Arabidopsis thaliana: one gene and its partner. The protein of the gene in region 1 interacts with the protein of each later gene in a pairwise test. Each region holds a gene or a part of one and is shown in the gene's direction. Other genes may lie near its edges.

The links. The genes of interacting proteins can lie anywhere in the genome.
Region 2: the proteins of AAP8 (region 1) and UPS1 interact in a protein complementation assay, tested with the Arabidopsis thaliana proteins (one large-scale study listed by BioGRID).

The regions. Positions count from the first base shown.
Region 1 is NC_003070.9:3,260,900-3,269,403, forward strand, and holds AAP8 (amino acid permease 8), read left to right. Parts: upstream 1-4,986; 5' UTR 4,987-5,073; coding exon 5,074-5,398; intron 5,399-6,079; coding exon 6,080-6,173; intron 6,174-6,287; coding exon 6,288-6,502; intron 6,503-6,600; coding exon 6,601-6,743; intron 6,744-6,981; coding exon 6,982-7,209; intron 7,210-7,401; coding exon 7,402-7,827; 3' UTR 7,828-7,924; downstream 7,925-8,504. Other genes in the region: AT1G09995 (DNA repair DEAD helicase RAD3/XP-D subfamily protein), read right to left, coding at 1,851-2,009, 2,452-2,559; AT1G10000 (Ribonuclease H-like superfamily protein), read right to left, coding at 2,978-3,889. UniProt on the Arabidopsis thaliana protein: Amino acid-proton symporter. Stereospecific transporter with a broad specificity for glutamate, aspartate and neutral and acidic amino acids.
Region 2 is NC_003071.7:1,090,617-1,098,897, forward strand, and holds UPS1 (ureide permease 1), read left to right. Parts: upstream 1-4,085; 5' UTR 4,086-4,512; coding exon 4,513-4,740; intron 4,741-4,819; coding exon 4,820-4,958; intron 4,959-5,046; coding exon 5,047-5,200; intron 5,201-5,272; coding exon 5,273-5,396; intron 5,397-5,486; coding exon 5,487-5,861; intron 5,862-5,942; coding exon 5,943-6,095; 3' UTR 6,096-6,360; downstream 6,361-8,281. Other genes in the region: AT2G03580 (F-box family protein-like protein), read left to right, coding at 2,648-2,699, 2,936-3,117, 3,560-3,671, 3,777-3,865; UPS3 (ureide permease 3), read left to right, coding at 6,678-6,905, 6,975-7,113, 7,190-7,343, 7,425-7,536, 7,628-8,017. UniProt on the Arabidopsis thaliana protein: Proton-coupled transporter that transports a wide spectrum of oxo derivatives of heterocyclic nitrogen compounds, including allantoin, uric acid and xanthine, but not adenine.

The DNA.
Region 1 (8,504 bases):
ATGTTTGTTTTCAGGACAATGATATCCTGAACCAGTAGGGGACTATTTGTTGGAAATCTCATATCTCCACGAAAACTTGTCTACATTAGCAGATGCAAACTCTTTGAAGTGAAACCTCAAAGCCAACCAAGCAGCTGCAGATGAAAAGATGCAAACTTTTCAATTTCGATTAACACTAGAGTGTTCATCTCATATAGAATAATCAACACAGTAACCAAAGTAAGAGAAAATAAAATGTAGATATCTCTGTTCGGACATTAAAGCAAGAATCTTGATAACGAATTTAAACTAGAGCTACATAAAGTCGTCTCCGACAACAAAATTAGGTCAAAAGCTAAAATCCCAATCTGAGCCAAATAAAAATTACATAAATGAAATGTCAAAGATTAGCGAAAATAACAAAACTTTACCATAACAACATACATTACCTCGAAATGGAAAAAAAGAAAACCAAAGGCAGAGCAAAGCAGAGCAGAGAGTTCAAAAAAAGAAGACGATGGTGGGCCTTGAGACTTTAGATCTGACGAATCAGATAGACGAAACCCAGATTTGATTTAGGGTTTGCTTTTTGCACGACAGACAAACCCTGAGCTAAAAGAACAGAGATGCAATAAAAGGGAGAGGATCTGGGAAAGTTACAAATGACGATTGTAAGGAACCAAAAAGTTTTGAGGGATTCAACGAAACTTTTTTATTCTTTTTTATAAAAGAGTTTAAACAAAAAAGTCAGATTTTTTATTGTGTTTGTCGGGTAAAGGATGAATGTTCATGCGACGACACCAATTACTATGTGTCTTTTTTTTTTTGGTTTCTTTTGCGCCAAATCGATGTTTGTACTACTGTCGTAAAATGGTGGATCCGACCCGCTACGTGTACTGCTTGGCTAGCCCTTGCGAGATGAGTTCCAAACCCGATTTACAAGGTTGTTTGTTTATATAAGGCCCATGGAAAGCCCAATATTATATCATTCTACTTCTTTTGAGATATGGCCCAACAAAAATTTAGTTACATTTGGACAAGAGACAAAATAAAACAGCTTTGGTTTATACATCTTCTTCCCTTTGTTTTTTTTCTTTGTTGCCAACAGAATCTTGTAAAAACATTGGTATTTACGTATATGGATAGGGCTGAAACTCCTTGTAGCGCTTTCCTTTCGGCATTACACATGACAACTAAGAGCAAGTCCAGTGATTAGTTTCTAAACAAAGTTTCTATGTATTTTTTATTAATAAATTTGGATAGTTTTGTAGTTTAGAGATTTTTTAGAGTTTTTGAAAATTTTATGGTCCATTGGTGGAATCTTTTAAGTTGGTTTCTAAAACAAAAAAAAATTGAAAAAAAAAAAAATTGTTGATATTTTTATTTGATTAAACATGATTATTATTAGGAATTATAAAATTTTAAATGTGACTCCAATCCAATTACAAAATGTGGAGGAGTGATTCCATGAAGCCATGACCTCTCTCTTGTTGTTTCCAGAAACTTGAGACTTGAACTCAAGCAAAGCTTGAAACAGCTTCATGTCGATTATAAAAAGATAAAGAAAGGCTCTTCTGCTTCAACATAAAACCAGAAAATGAAAGGAAGTTTTAGGGGCTAATTAAATGTGGTCCAAAATTATTGAAAATGGTCACAAACAAACAAATTGGTTGCCAATGATATAATACATTCCAAAGAGCACGCCAAGCTTGTGTGTATAAATCACACGAGTTGTGTTGTACAAGAAGACACATACCTTGCTATTACAAGGCTCTATGACTTCTGAGCTTGCATCAAGCTCATCTTTAAGAAACTGCAGGAAGAGAACAGCTTCAACATGATCACGAAAGGGGAAAATATTAAGAACCAATTCAGATATTGCTTTCCTTCAGATTCCTATCACTAGCAAGAGGTTTGAGGAAAGCTCGGGTGAGAATCAACATAATTTGGATATATCTCATGTTTCCAGCTCTCAAGAGATTCTGGAATCTTCCCAGATAACTCTCTATGCTGCAGTGTATATCCTCCAACTGCAATACAAATCATTTAAAAACATGACTCCACATATGGCCTGAAACAGAGGACCCAATAGCAATGCAAAAGTCCATCCAAACAACATGTGCTCAGAAAGCTGATGAAACTGAAATTTATATATGTGCCACTGTTAGTTTTGCATCGTGCATACTGAGAAAAGTGTCAGCCAAATTGTGAGCCTCGTCTATGATAACAACACTATTTTTCAAGCTTGGTTCGTACTATTCTTACATTTGCACCTAAATTCTGAAATGTTTCCATTAGTTAGCAAAAATCTTTCTTTTATTCTACTTAGCTAAATGACCATTAACAATGACGAAACAAGCAGATATTCATTTAATTTGGAAGCTTTGTATTCAGAGGCTACCAGCAATGCAAGACGGAACACACTTTCATAGATAGATAAATCTTCTCATAATACAAGTTGATAACATGTACCTTCTTTTTAGAGACTTGAGATATCTTCTTCTTTTGCAAGTCCAAGCACCTCTCGTCGATTTGGTTAGAAGAATCGATTTGGGGAACAAAATCTAGCTCGATCATCATCCCGTTGGTTGAAACACTCGTTTAGGTGGATGATTTTTCATGATTTCATGAACAAATCACTAGATCTTCAGCGTCGATTCCAATCGTCTTTGGTGTCTCCGTAGGCGAAGAAGAAGAAGAAGAAATAAATAAACGCGTGTGGTTTTTTTTTTTTGGTTTTGTCATTCAGTTTACCCAATAAAATGAGGTCACGTATGAGTTTCTATTGGGTCGCGAAAAACTAATTTTAGGAACGATCCTAAATGGATTCAGCTGTTTTTCTATTATCTGGGCCCATTTTTACATAAAAACCCATCTAAGAAATCTACTAAAAACCCTTACTTGACTTGCTCTAAGTTTTCACCAACGGATTGTCAACGTACCGTACTTTTTTTTTTTTTTTTTTTTTTTAGTCAAACCCAATACTTTCCATTCCAAATCAAACAAAAACAAGAGTACCCGGGTCAAGCCCGATATTACCAGAAATACAAAGGGAGAGCTTAGCCGCAGCATCAGCAATCGAATTAACTAAGCGAGGGATAAATTGAAAGGAGATAGAGCGGAATCTGTTTCGAATAGATCGAATTTCCACTAGAAGGCCAAATATCTCATTGAGGGAGACATTGGAGTTCAAAGCATCAACTATGGATTTTGAGTCCGATAACACAAGGAGATCGGATCTTTCCAGTTGTAAAGCATGTAGCATCGCCGATTTGATAGCCCAAGCCTCCGCCGCTAAGGGCGAGGGGAACCGACGGCATCCGGCTGAGAAGGTGGTAATTTCTTTCTCCGAGTGTGAGGTTGCTTGGAACACCCAGCCAGAGCCAGCGAGGGAGCTCTGTTGTTGCCAAGCCGCATCCACGTAGCAGAGAAAATCATGAGTCAGAGTTGTTGTGGAGTTTGGGCGGGGGGTCGCTACACGAACTTTTGGGAGCGCCAATTGGGCGGATTGCCACGCTAAGGCATCCTGAACCGCCTTTGTAACAGTCTCTATCACAGAGAAATGAGAATTTTGGAAGATAAGCTGATTTCTGGCTTTCCAGATGTGCCAACAGATCCAGGGGAAGAGGGTTGCTGTATGAATCCCAACCGGGGGGAGAACGATGGTTTTCTTAAGTAAGTTAAGAGCTTCCAAAATAGGGGTACCGATAGGGATGTGACCCAATTGGAGGGGCGCTAGGTTCCAAACTTGTGCCGCAAAATCACAGTGAAACAGCATGTGGGTGGAAGTCTCCGGAGCCCCACAGCGTGCACAATCCCAAGTTGATGATATATGCCTTCTTACGAGTTGTGCACCCACAGGGAGAGCTCCTGCAGCCGCCTTCCATAGGAAAAGTTTGATCTTCGGCATAGTGTGGAGTTTCCAAAGGTTTGCTTGCCAGTTAAAGCGGACCTGAGCTGTTGGTAGCACTGTCAAGGATGTTACCCCGTAACCTGATCTTGAGGTATACTCTCCAGATTTTACCGGTAACCAGACCAATTTATCCACACCCCTACTTGAGGGCACAGGGAGCTGTCTGATGAGCTGTTCATAGTCAGGTAGGAGGTCAACGTACCGTACTTTAATGGTGTAATATGCGACATTTATTATGTGTCATTTTAGATATCTGATTCTGTCTCGACAATTGGGATGGGCATTTTATGGATATAGTTAGAATGGGATTTTATTCGAAGGAATATTTTGTGGATATATTTTAAAATAATCCACTAAAAAATCAGGTTTATGTTGGTCAAAATCCATATTTAATACGACAAAATACAACATTGAATTCATTAATTGTGCACAAATTACGGATTGTGAGATAAGACTATAAGAGTGAAAGAAACGATAAGAAGTAATGAAGACTCAAAATCGTACATAATTGAAATTAGTGAAATTTATGGTTTGGTTTACATGTTTTTGTAAACCGTTAAAATAGTAGTAAAATATAATACAAACATGTAAATCCACATAATTTTGTATTTGATGCGATACTAATAACAAAATGTTGTAGATATATCATAATATTTAGTTGATACAACAATATATATATATAGATTCACATCAATACATCATTATAACTCAATGTTAATGATTTAATTTCCCGATTAATGAATCATGTGCATGTGAGGATTTGAGAAGATAAATGAGCAAGATAGAAGAGAGGATATAGCTATGCAAGAGGCCAAGATCTGAAGGAAATATCTCTCTGTTTTACTCATCTAATTTTAATCAGTTACCTAATTTCGATTATTCGTAGTGTCGTTAATGTAGGTAAATCCTCTTTTCAACATGCGGACCAATTTTTGTTTCCGGAATAAGCAATAGTGGTTACACATTCAAAATCAAAGTCAAAAGAAATAAATCCTCGTAATAGAAGATTCTCTTAATAAATAAGATTCAACGTACAAAGATGCTCTTTCCATATAAACATCGATATTTGTGTATATAATACATGTAAGTACGTGATTGTGAGGGAGTACTCTAATAAGACGACCTCTGTCAATAACTCTCTTCCCCTCTCTTCTCTCCTCTGGTTCAGTGGTTCTCTCACAATGATGGACGCATACAACAATCCCTCGGCGGTGGAGTCGGGTGACGCCGCCGTGAAAAGCGTCGACGACGATGGTCGAGAGAAGAGAACGGGAACATTTTGGACGGCGAGTGCGCACATAATCACGGCGGTCATAGGCTCAGGGGTGCTGTCGTTGGCTTGGGCTATAGCACAGCTTGGTTGGGTGGCAGGAACCACAGTTTTGGTCGCTTTCGCCATCATTACTTACTACACGTCCACCTTGCTCGCCGACTGTTACCGTTCGCCGGACTCCATCACCGGAACACGCAACTATAATTACATGGGCGTCGTCCGATCTTACCTTGGTATGGATTCATATAAACAAATTCATTTTGTGTCTTTATCAGCATTGTTTTTCACAGATTTTTCAGTTTTCTAGACATTTTTTCTCAGATGAACAAGGATTTTGTTCATTTGATATCATTTAGATTTTGCCTAACTAGTCTCAATTTAGGACATGTGTTTTGATTTTCTTCCATTTCTGTCACAATGATGATGGCTGGCGAAAGAAAAAAAATCTGATCTAAAAATATATATTTAATGCTAAGTTGGAATTTGTAAATCTACAGTATAATTGGCTCATTTCAACAATTTTTTACCATGTAAATTTGTTGAAGAACATTATTGTTGTTGAACAATGAAAGAAAAAAATATGGTTGTTAGAAAAAAATGATTTACGATTTTGCCAAGTGTGCATGCTCTTTCATGGGAAGATATGAATTAATTATCAAAATCTATATAAAAAAAAGGAAGATAATCTTCATTCTTTCATAACTTAGTTAATAAATTAAATTGATTAGGATTGGTAACATAGTCAATTCAATTTATCCCGTTAAAGAATGTTATAAATTCGATTGTTGACCCCTCGTTGAAAATTTGGAATTATGCGGGATGTTTAGAAACTTTGCCATAAGACCAAAAGATTGGTAGTATTTGATAGTAGTACAAGAGTAATCATTTTTCTTCTTTAATAACATAAAACGCAGGTGGTAAAAAGGTTCAGCTATGTGGAGTGGCACAGTACGTGAATCTCGTAGGGGTCACTATTGGTTACACCATCACTGCCTCCATAAGCTTAGTGTAAGTCAAAGATTCTGATTTATTTCGATTATTTTGTTATGGTTATACTAACATGTTGTTCTGAATAAAATTACTAATAATTGTTTGATTGGTGTTTTTGTACGTCTTCGTTAGAGCGATTGGGAAATCAAATTGTTATCATGACAAGGGACATAAAGCGAAATGTTCTGTATCGAATTATCCATACATGGCGGCATTTGGGATCGTCCAGATCATTCTGAGCCAGCTTCCTAACTTCCACAAGCTCTCTTTCCTATCCATCATCGCCGCGGTTATGTCCTTCTCTTATGCGTCTATCGGAATAGGCCTAGCCATCGCTACTGTAGCAAGTACATTCCCCTTCTTTATCTTAAAACATAGTGGTTTATATGGATGATTCTTCAAAGTTGACACTAACCGTGAAAATGGTATACAATATATATGAAAGGTGGGAAGATTGGTAAGACAGAATTGACAGGGACAGTGATAGGTGTGGACGTAACTGCGTCTGAAAAAGTTTGGAAATTGTTTCAAGCGATTGGAGACATTGCCTTTTCATACGCTTTTACCACTATTCTCATCGAGATTCAGGCATGTACTACTGATTCCTACTATCTTCCGTTTACTATTGTTTTCATTTGCTTGTTATTATTAATTTCGCCAAAGAGAGGTAAAATAAGAATACCTTGAAGATAAGATGTTATTATTAATTAGACAGTTAGGAAAAAATATAGATGGATGGATGATGGATAAAAATAGTTTCATATTTTAGATATGTGAAGCTCTAAAGATAGTGACGCTCTAGTAGTATGTCTTGTTTATTTTGCAGGACACATTGAGATCAAGCCCACCAGAGAACAAAGTGATGAAACGAGCAAGTCTTGTCGGAGTCTCAACCACAACTGTTTTCTACATCTTGTGTGGTTGCATCGGATATGCTGCGTTCGGCAACCAAGCCCCTGGTGACTTCCTTACCGATTTTGGTTTTTACGAACCTTATTGGCTCATCGACTTTGCCAATGCTTGCATTGCTCTCCATCTAATAGGTGCCTATCAGGTATAACTCACAAACAAAAGAATAGGATAAGTGTGTAACATACATTTACCGTGTTCAAGTTCATTAAAAGTCTCATTATTGTGTTAGAATTTTTAGCTTTAACAATTCAGAAGATTGTAGAAATGGAGTTATTACTAAATATTGTTTCTAAAAAATGCTCTTTTTTTTTTTTTATCCCTGTATTATTCGCAGGTGTATGCGCAGCCGTTTTTCCAGTTTGTTGAGGAAAACTGCAACAAAAAATGGCCTCAAAGCAATTTCATCAACAAAGAATACTCGTCAAAGGTTCCTTTGCTTGGAAAATGTCGTGTCAACCTCTTCAGACTGGTTTGGAGGACATGCTATGTTGTTTTGACAACATTTGTAGCAATGATATTCCCCTTCTTCAATGCGATCTTGGGTTTGCTAGGGGCATTCGCGTTCTGGCCACTCACAGTTTATTTTCCGGTGGCAATGCACATTGCGCAGGCTAAAGTCAAGAAGTATTCTCGTAGATGGTTGGCCTTGAACCTCCTCGTATTGGTTTGCTTGATCGTCTCGGCCCTTGCCGCCGTAGGATCCATCATTGGCTTAATTAATAGTGTCAAGTCATACAAGCCCTTCAAGAATTTAGACTAGTGTGACTTATAATCTATGTTTGCCAAAAAAAAACCTTGTGATCCATATGAATTATATGAAATTTATTTCATGCTAAATATTTAGTACTTAATGTTTCTCCAAATAATGTGACGTTCTGTTTTCAGCTATGTTAAAAACCAAAATGCTAACTTATGTATTAGTACTAAAATTTATGAAAATGTATTAGTTATTGATTTATTTTTAGGACTACAATTATTGAATCAACATTGGATGTTTGAGTCCCATGAGATATGGATTTCAGCTTTTTTCAAATTCGTGTGGTTGTGTCAATTTCGAGTTATTATTATTTATTTTGCTTAATGGAATTGTCGGGGAAATCTTGAAAACAGACACTCACAGATTGTGTAATTTATTTGGTTTGGTGTGTCCTACATAAGTTGCTATCACATCTTATGTATTGGAGGAGTTGGGCAATAGAGGATCAAGGCAAGTTTGGTTTTCTATTAACGTTTCTACTCTGCATTTGCTTACAAAGTCATTTTCAAGGTTTTGTGGTCGTATGTCACTTGATGGCTACCATCATAACCGCCATGTAACCAAACAATTGCCTTGCGGTTACCTACCCATATGGCGCATCTAACCAAGAGATGCATCCCCTAATCCTGGTCATTTGTCATTGCACTTCTAGCTGATTGTTCAATAGAATAATTTCAATT
Region 2 (8,281 bases), on another chromosome or scaffold:
AATTGAATCAAAAGTTTTTAAAAATAATGGAAATATATACCCTAAATTGGAAATAGAGAACCCAAATATAATACCACAAACTAATACTAAAATGAAAATTCTCTTTTAAATGGTGAAAATATATACCCTAAAGTAGAAATAGGGAACCCAAATATAATATTTTCAATTTATTTTTAATTATTTAGGTTGAATATATTTTATATAAAAATTGTGGTATTATTGAAAAAATAAAGGGAGATTGACACAAATGGCACAAAAAAACTTTATTATTCCAAAAATGACACTTTCTTTTGAAACTTCCAAAAAAAGCATATAAAAGTTTTTAATTCTCTATAAATTAATTAAATAATAAAGTTTTTTTACTACCATTTGTATCAATTCCCCCCCCCCCCCCAAATAAAAATGAGAGCAAACACTGATATTAAATTGAATCAAAAAACTTTTAAATAGTGAAAATATATACCCTAAATTGGAAATAAAAAACCCAAATATAATACTACAAACTAATTTAAAATGAAAAATCTCTTTAAAATGATTGAAAATATAAACCCTAAATTGAAAATAGGAAACCCATATATAATACCATAAACTAATATTAAAATGAATCAAAATTTCTTTTAAATAGTTGGAAATATATACCCTAAATTAGAAATAGAGAACCCAAATATAATATTTTAAATTTATTTCTAATTTATTTTGGTTGAATATATTTTTATATAAAATTGTGGTATTATTATTGTCCATAAAACTTGTTTTTGTGTTACTTTTAAGAATTTCTCAAATAATTATTTGAGTGCTATTTATGTCTAAAAAACTTTTTAATGCTATTTTTTTCAAAAAACTTAAAAGTGTGCTATTTGTGGGAATTTCTCAAAAAGTAAATTAGTGATAATATTTTTAGAACAAAAACTTTAGAGTAAGTCAATTAGTGCTATTTTTGGAAGTTTATGGAGTGTGTGCTATTATTGTCCATAAAACTTGTTTTAGTGCTATTTTGAAGAATTTCCCAAAAAACTATGTCTCTTATAATTAAATAATAAAAAAGATTCAAAAGTAAAGAAGATAAATTTATAAACAAATGTGTAATCAAAACAAGGATTTTGCAAAATGGAAAGATATGACACAACAATTAGACAATACATATACTGAATTTCAAATTTCAAATTTCAAATTTCAATAAGTTGTTTAATGTTTATAAATTTATATATTAAACAAATATTTTTGATAAATCTGATGTTCGTATTCATGATACATCTATCATAAAATAAATATTTTCTTTAGTTAAAATTAGCAAAACAAAACAAGGATTTTGCAAAATTGTAAGATATGACACAACAGTTATAGGTACATATACTGAATTTCAAATTTCAAATTTTAAGTAAGTATAGATTTATTTAAATTTAATGTTGTTTTGTCATACCGATGTAATTGGCTATATAATATTTTTTGAGAAATCTGATGTTCGTATTCATGATACACCTATCCTAAAATAAATATTTTCTTTAGTTAAAATTAGCAAAATAGAATGTGTAAGATTGAAATTTGTTTTTTCTTTTAAATATTATATTAAATATAAAAAGTGTGTTAACTACGATTTAGAGCTCATATATCATAAATTAAAATTAGCATTTTTTTTTTCTCACCCGCCTATTTAGGCGGGCCTTATCTAGTTAATTATAAAAAGACAATTGACAAAAATAGCACCAAAAAAGAGTTTTTTTCCAAAATTAGCACAATATTTCTGAGATTTCACAAATAGCACGATAAAGTTCAATTAAACTTAACTAAAATATAAGATTGAAAATAAAAATGAGAGCAAACACTAATCTAATATTAAATTGAATAAAACAATTGTAGAAATATATATCCTAAATTAGAAATAGATAACCCAAATATAATACCACAAACTAATATTAAAATGAAAAATCTCCTTTAAATGGTGAAAATATATACCCTAAATTAGAAATAGGGAACTCAAATATAATACCATAAACTAATATTAAAATGAATCAATTTGTTTTTAAATGGTTGAAATATATACCCTAAATTGAAAATAGAGAATCCAAATATAATATTTTAATTTATTTCTAATTTATTTTGGTTGAATAGATTTTATATAAAAATTATGATATTATTCAAAAAATAAATTAGTGATAATACTTTTAGAAAAAAACTTCATAATAAGTCAAGTAGTGCTATTTTTGAAAGTTTATGGAATGTGTGCTATTATTGTCCATAAAACCAGTTTTAATGCTATTTTTAGGAATTTCTCATTGTAAAAAGAGCATTGCAAAAATATTAAGACAACAACAAAAGTAAGCTCTTTAGCTGATATACGACCACCAACTATCTGGCTATCGAGAAGATCTAATATGCAGGGAAGTTATTCACTAGAATAATTCAATAGATTTGTTTAGTATAAAACTATTATTAGATTGAGTAAATATAAAAATAGTATATTTAAATTTGAGAGGAATGACATATGTCAAATGAATCAAACACCACTTGTCAGTTTTTTACGGTATGAGTTTGAGGGAACCTTACTTATATGTAAATGTATAAAAATAGTTAAACTTAATAGGCGTTCGTTCTAATCCCTAAAACAAAACCTTAGTTACTTTAGCGTATAGGGCAAGTAGGCGCAGACATGGATATGTCGATGAGAGAAGAGAAAAGACCAAAAGTGTTTGATAATCACGGTTGGTCCAAACTTTAATTTGTCCCGCGCGATCTTTGCAAAAGACCATGAAAATATTGATCTTTATTTACCTAAAGATCATCAAGGTGGATGCGCGTAACGATTTGATGAGAGAAGAAAACTGACCAAAAGTATCTCATCATCACGACTGGTCCAAGCTTTGTCTTGACCTTTTGCGAAAAATCATTGAAAGCTTGAACTCTATTGACTACCACCAAGCAAAACTCGTTTGCTCAGATTGGTATTTCGTTTGGAAAACATGCGTGAAACGGCCTCTGTATCCATGGCGGATCATATACTACGATGATGATTCTTCCAGTTTGTTTGATCCCGGTGAAGACAAGATTTACGGGACAAAACTCCTCGGACTCTCTGACAATAGCTATTATATGGCTAGCTCCGGAAACTGGCTCTTGATGGTAGATTCTTGATAGGTTTATAAGGTCGACTACTAGAGAAAGAAGCTGAGAAGATTGGGCTAAGCGAAGCTGAGAAGAGAAAAGAGGAAGTCAACTACTGTGTTGACTGAGTTGACTTAACAAATGAGGGCAAATACTCTTTCCAGTTAGAGGCCTTGAAACTCTTCTTCTATAAATACTGACTCTGTTCTTATCTGGGGATTTTATGCTTTTTATGTTGTGATATTTCTCGAGAGAGAATTGGCCTTGTGATGTGCCAGAGGAAGAGATCAATGTTGATCTCTTGGTCATCGGTTGCTTATATCTATGTTGATCTAAACATAACGATTCTTATCTTCTCTTTGTAGTTACGTAATCGATTCTATCATTACGATCTAGAGTTTCTAGAGTTTAAGGATTTGAAACTTTAACAAGTCTCGTCTTGATTCGAATCTTATTAAAGATCAATCTTCCGTCAATGGAGTCGTCAGTTCGCGGTGGAAAAATAAGATTCGAGCCAAGCAGATACTATAATAGACAAGGCAAGTGGGGATGGTTCGTCCTCCATCCTTTTGGTAAGTATTGCGTGTCCAAACACATGTTGGGAATAACAAGATCAGTTGGTCTTGGATAGATGAGAGGACAGTGGATTATTTAATTGCTTGGACTTTACACAACAGTTATTTGTTCACATACAAGAAAGGAGATGATTCTTGGTGGAACTGGAATGATAAGTATGGGACATCAGCTCCGATGTTTGGGGATTTAGCTTACAAGAACAGCAAGCTTTATCAGTATACTTTGCGCCACTACATCAAGATTATTGATTATTGTTACATACTTTTACTTCACCTTTTTGTTTTGAATTTTTTTTTTTATAATGATTTTAAGACAAGATTGTGTCAGCCGTTGACTTATGATCAACTAGGAACCTAATCGGAACGCAACTCGAGATTCATTTTATTTATTTTATACTACAAAATTATCTTGAAAAATATATCGAGGAAGGTGTCATATCTCATGGAATCCGAATCTGCCAATAATATGAGAGCCACTAGCAATTATTCTGAATCTCCCCAAAGGGAAGAATCAAAAGTTGTTCTCTCTTGTTCTGTCTTTGTTCTTTGTTAGAGTTAGAACAGAAGCTTCCAAAAGGTAATAATAATCTCTTTCAAGAAACTCATTATTAGTCAAAGATGTTTACTTTTTAGTACTCTCTCTGTTCTTCATTGCTTCTCTAGAAACCCAATAGATTTTGACTCTTGCCTTGCCTTTGCGGTTGTCTAAAGATCACAATCCTCAATTTGAGTTTGATCGATCATTAATGTGTGTCGAAGATCAGATAACCAAAAGAATCTTGTTTGGTGCAGAGTTTTTTTCATGATTTTTATAAGTATATAAAAGAGAGATAGAAAGATGTATATGATAGAGAGCAAAGGAGGAGCAATTGCATGTATGCTCTTGGCTCTTCTCTTCTTAGGGACATGGCCAGCAATCATGACTCTAACCGAAAGACGCGGTCGACTTCCTCAACACACTTATCTTGACTACACACTCACAAATCTGTTAGCTGCAGTGATCATAGCGTTGACACTAGGAGAAATAGGTCCGAGCAGACCAAATTTCTTTACACAGCTCTCTCAAGTCAGTCACATCTTCTTACTTCTCCTTAGACATCTTGTCGAAAACTATTGTATAACCGCGGTTTTTTTTTTTATCATAGGATAATTGGCAGTCAGTGATGTTTGCAATGGCTGGAGGAATAGTTCTTAGCCTTGGAAACTTAGCAACACAATATGCTTGGGCTTATGTTGGTTTATCAGTTACTGAAGTCATCACAGCTAGTATCACTGTTGTTATCGGTACACTCTTCTTTCTTCAACTACTCTTAACTGATTTTTTCCTCTGTTTCTTCTCTGTTCTTATGACCATTTCTGTTTTCTAGTACAGGCACAACTTTGAACTATTTCTTGGATGATAGAATCAACAGAGCTGAGGTCCTTTTCCCGGGGGTCGCTTGTTTCTTGATCGCTGTTTGTTTCGGTTCCGCTGTTCATAAATCCAATGCTGCTGATAACAAAACCAAACTCCAAAATTTCAAAAGGTTTGAAAAAGATTCATATCTATTGTTGTTTCCGTTTGGTTTGGTTTGGTACTAATCTTGATCTTGTTTCAGTTTAGAGACTACTTCTTCCTTCGAAATGGAAACAATTTCTGCAAGCAACGGGTTAACAAAAGGGAAAGCGAAAGAAGGGACTGCAGCTTTTCTCATAGAGCTTGAGAAGCAAAGAGCTATAAAGGTTGAAACATACTACTCTTCCTTTACCCTAACAGATATAACTGATATGTATATATGTTCTCTGAAGATTCATGATTGGCATTGAGGACAGGTCTTTGGCAAAAGCACAATAATCGGATTGGTGATAACTTTCTTTGCCGGTATCTGCTTTTCTCTGTTCTCACCTGCATTCAACTTAGCAACAAACGATCAATGGCACACATTAAAACATGGAGTTCCAAAACTAAATGTGTACACTGCCTTCTTCTACTTCTCCATCTCTGCATTTGTAGTTGCTCTGATACTTAACATCAGATTTCTCTATTGGCCTATACTTGGTCTCCCAAGATCTTCTTTCAAGGCTTATTTGAATGACTGGAACGGTCGAGGCTGGTCTTTCTTGGCTGGATTTCTATGTGGATTTGGCAATGGTCTTCAGTTCATGGGTGGTCAAGCCGCAGGCTATGCAGCTGCAGACGCTGTTCAGGTTTAGACAATAAACAAATCCTCTGTTCCATGATTTAAGAGTGAAATATGTTTTACTTATTATGATTTGAATATGTTTCAGGCACTTCCACTTGTGAGTACATTTTGGGGGATATTGTTGTTTGGAGAATATAGAAGATCATCAAGAAAAACATATACACTTCTCATCAGTATGCTTCTTATGTTCATAGTCGCTGTCGCGGTTCTTATGGCTTCCTCGGGACATAGAAAATGAAATTCACTGAAACTTCTTCAAGTTAAACTGCTAAAAGGATCCATTGAAGGAAGAGTTACTTCACCAATGGCTGCAACATGTTCAAGTCTTTGTTTATATTTAACCAAAGTGTTTTCTTTGTTGGTTTCTGTCTTAGGGCTTTGCTAACAACAATTGGTTGTATTGTCTTTGTTTACACATCAGAGAAAGAAAACTATAGTTTATGGCAACTTGAGATTTATTTATTTTATAGAAAATGGGAAACTAACTTCTTCCTGAATCTGGATCTGCCAATCAAATGAGAGACTAAGTTTTTTTTCTTCTGTATCTGTTGTTCTCTGGTCTTCCTCAAAGTCAAAGTTAAGACAAAAGCTTTAATAAGGTAATCTCTTTCAAGAAACCTAGTCAATAGGGAAATTTAATGGAATATAAGGTTTGAGTTTTATAGAGATCTTCTTGTATCAGCATGTGTCTTGTGTTAATGTTCTAAAGAACCTTTCTTAAGACAACTAGCTTCATTTTTATCACGAGAGATCAATGATATGATAACAGAAGAATCTCACTTCTTTACTTTGATGCAGTGGGATTTGGTGATTTTATAAAATGTATGTGATAGAGAGCAAAGGAGGAACAATCACTTGTATGCTCTTGGCTCTGCTCTTCTTAGGGACATGGCCAGCAATCATGACTCTAACCGAAAGACGCGGTAGACTTCCTCAACATACTTATCTTGACTACACACTGACAAACCTGTTAGCTGCAGTTATCATAGCGTTTACACTAGGCGAAATAAGTCCAAGCAGACCAAATTTCACCACACAGCTTTCTCAAGTCAGTTACACATACATTCATACACATATTTGTTGTTGGTTTTTGAAATGCAAAGTTTTTTTGTCACAGGATAATTGGCCGTCTGTGATGTTTGCAATGGCTGGAGGAATATTTCTTAGCCTTGGGACCTTAGCAACACAATATGCTTGGGCTTTTGTTGGGTTATCTGTCACTGAAGTCATCACAGCTAGTATCGCCGTTGTTATCGGTAAACTCTTCTCTTCAACTACTCTTAACTGATTTTTTTCCTCTGTTCTTATTAACTCTTTTGTTTTCAACAACAGGCACAACTTTGAACTATTTCTTGGATGATAGAATCAACAGAGCTGAGGTCCTTTTCCCGGGGGTCGCTTGTTTCTTGATCGCTGTTTGTTTCGGTTCTGCTGTTCATAAATCAAATGCAGCTGATAACAAATCCAAACTCCAAGGATTCAAAAGGTTAAAAAAAGATTCACTATACTAGGTCTTTGTTTTGTTTTCTTTTGGTTTGGTTTTTAACCTAATCTGATCTTGTTTCAGTTTAGAGACTACTTCTTCCTTCCAAATGGAAACAAGTTCTATAAAAGAAGGAAAAGCAAAAGTAGGGACTGCAGATTTTCTTATTGAGGTTGAGAAACAAAGAGCCATAAAGGTTAATAATAATACACACAGCATTTTCCTAAACAGAAATAACTGATATTCACTGATACTCAAGATTTGCGTTGACAGGTTTTTGGGAAAAGCACAATAATTGGACTGGCGATAACATTCTTTGCCGGTATCTGTTTCTCTCTAATCTCACCTGCAGTAAGCTTAGCGACAAACGATCAATGGCACACTTTGAAACATGGAGTTGGCACACTTTGAAACATGGAGTTCCAAAACTCAATGTGTACACAGCCTTCTTCTACTTCTCCATCTCTTCATTTGGGGTTGGTCTGATACTAAACATCATATTTCTCTATTGGCCTATACTTGGTCTCCCAAGATCATCTTTCAAGGCTTACCTAAATGACTGGAACGGTCGAGGCTGGTCTTTCTTGGCTGGATTTCTCTGTGGATTTGGTAATGGTCTTCAGTTTATGGGCGGTCAAGCCGCTGGTTATGCTGCTGCAGGAGCTGTTCAGGTTTAAGACCTCTTTTCTGTTCAATGATTTAAAGATTGAAAATAAACATTTTGGGGGATACTGCTGTTTGGAGAATACAAAAGATCATCAAGAAAAACATATACACTTCTTATCAGTATGCTATTTATGTTCATAGCTGCAGTCGCGGTTCTGATGGCCTCATCGGGACATCGAAAATGACTAAAAATGCATTCCACAGAAACATCTACAGACTAAAAGCTTCACAACTTTGGTTTATAAACTTGTAAGATACGGTACTCTTGTATGAAG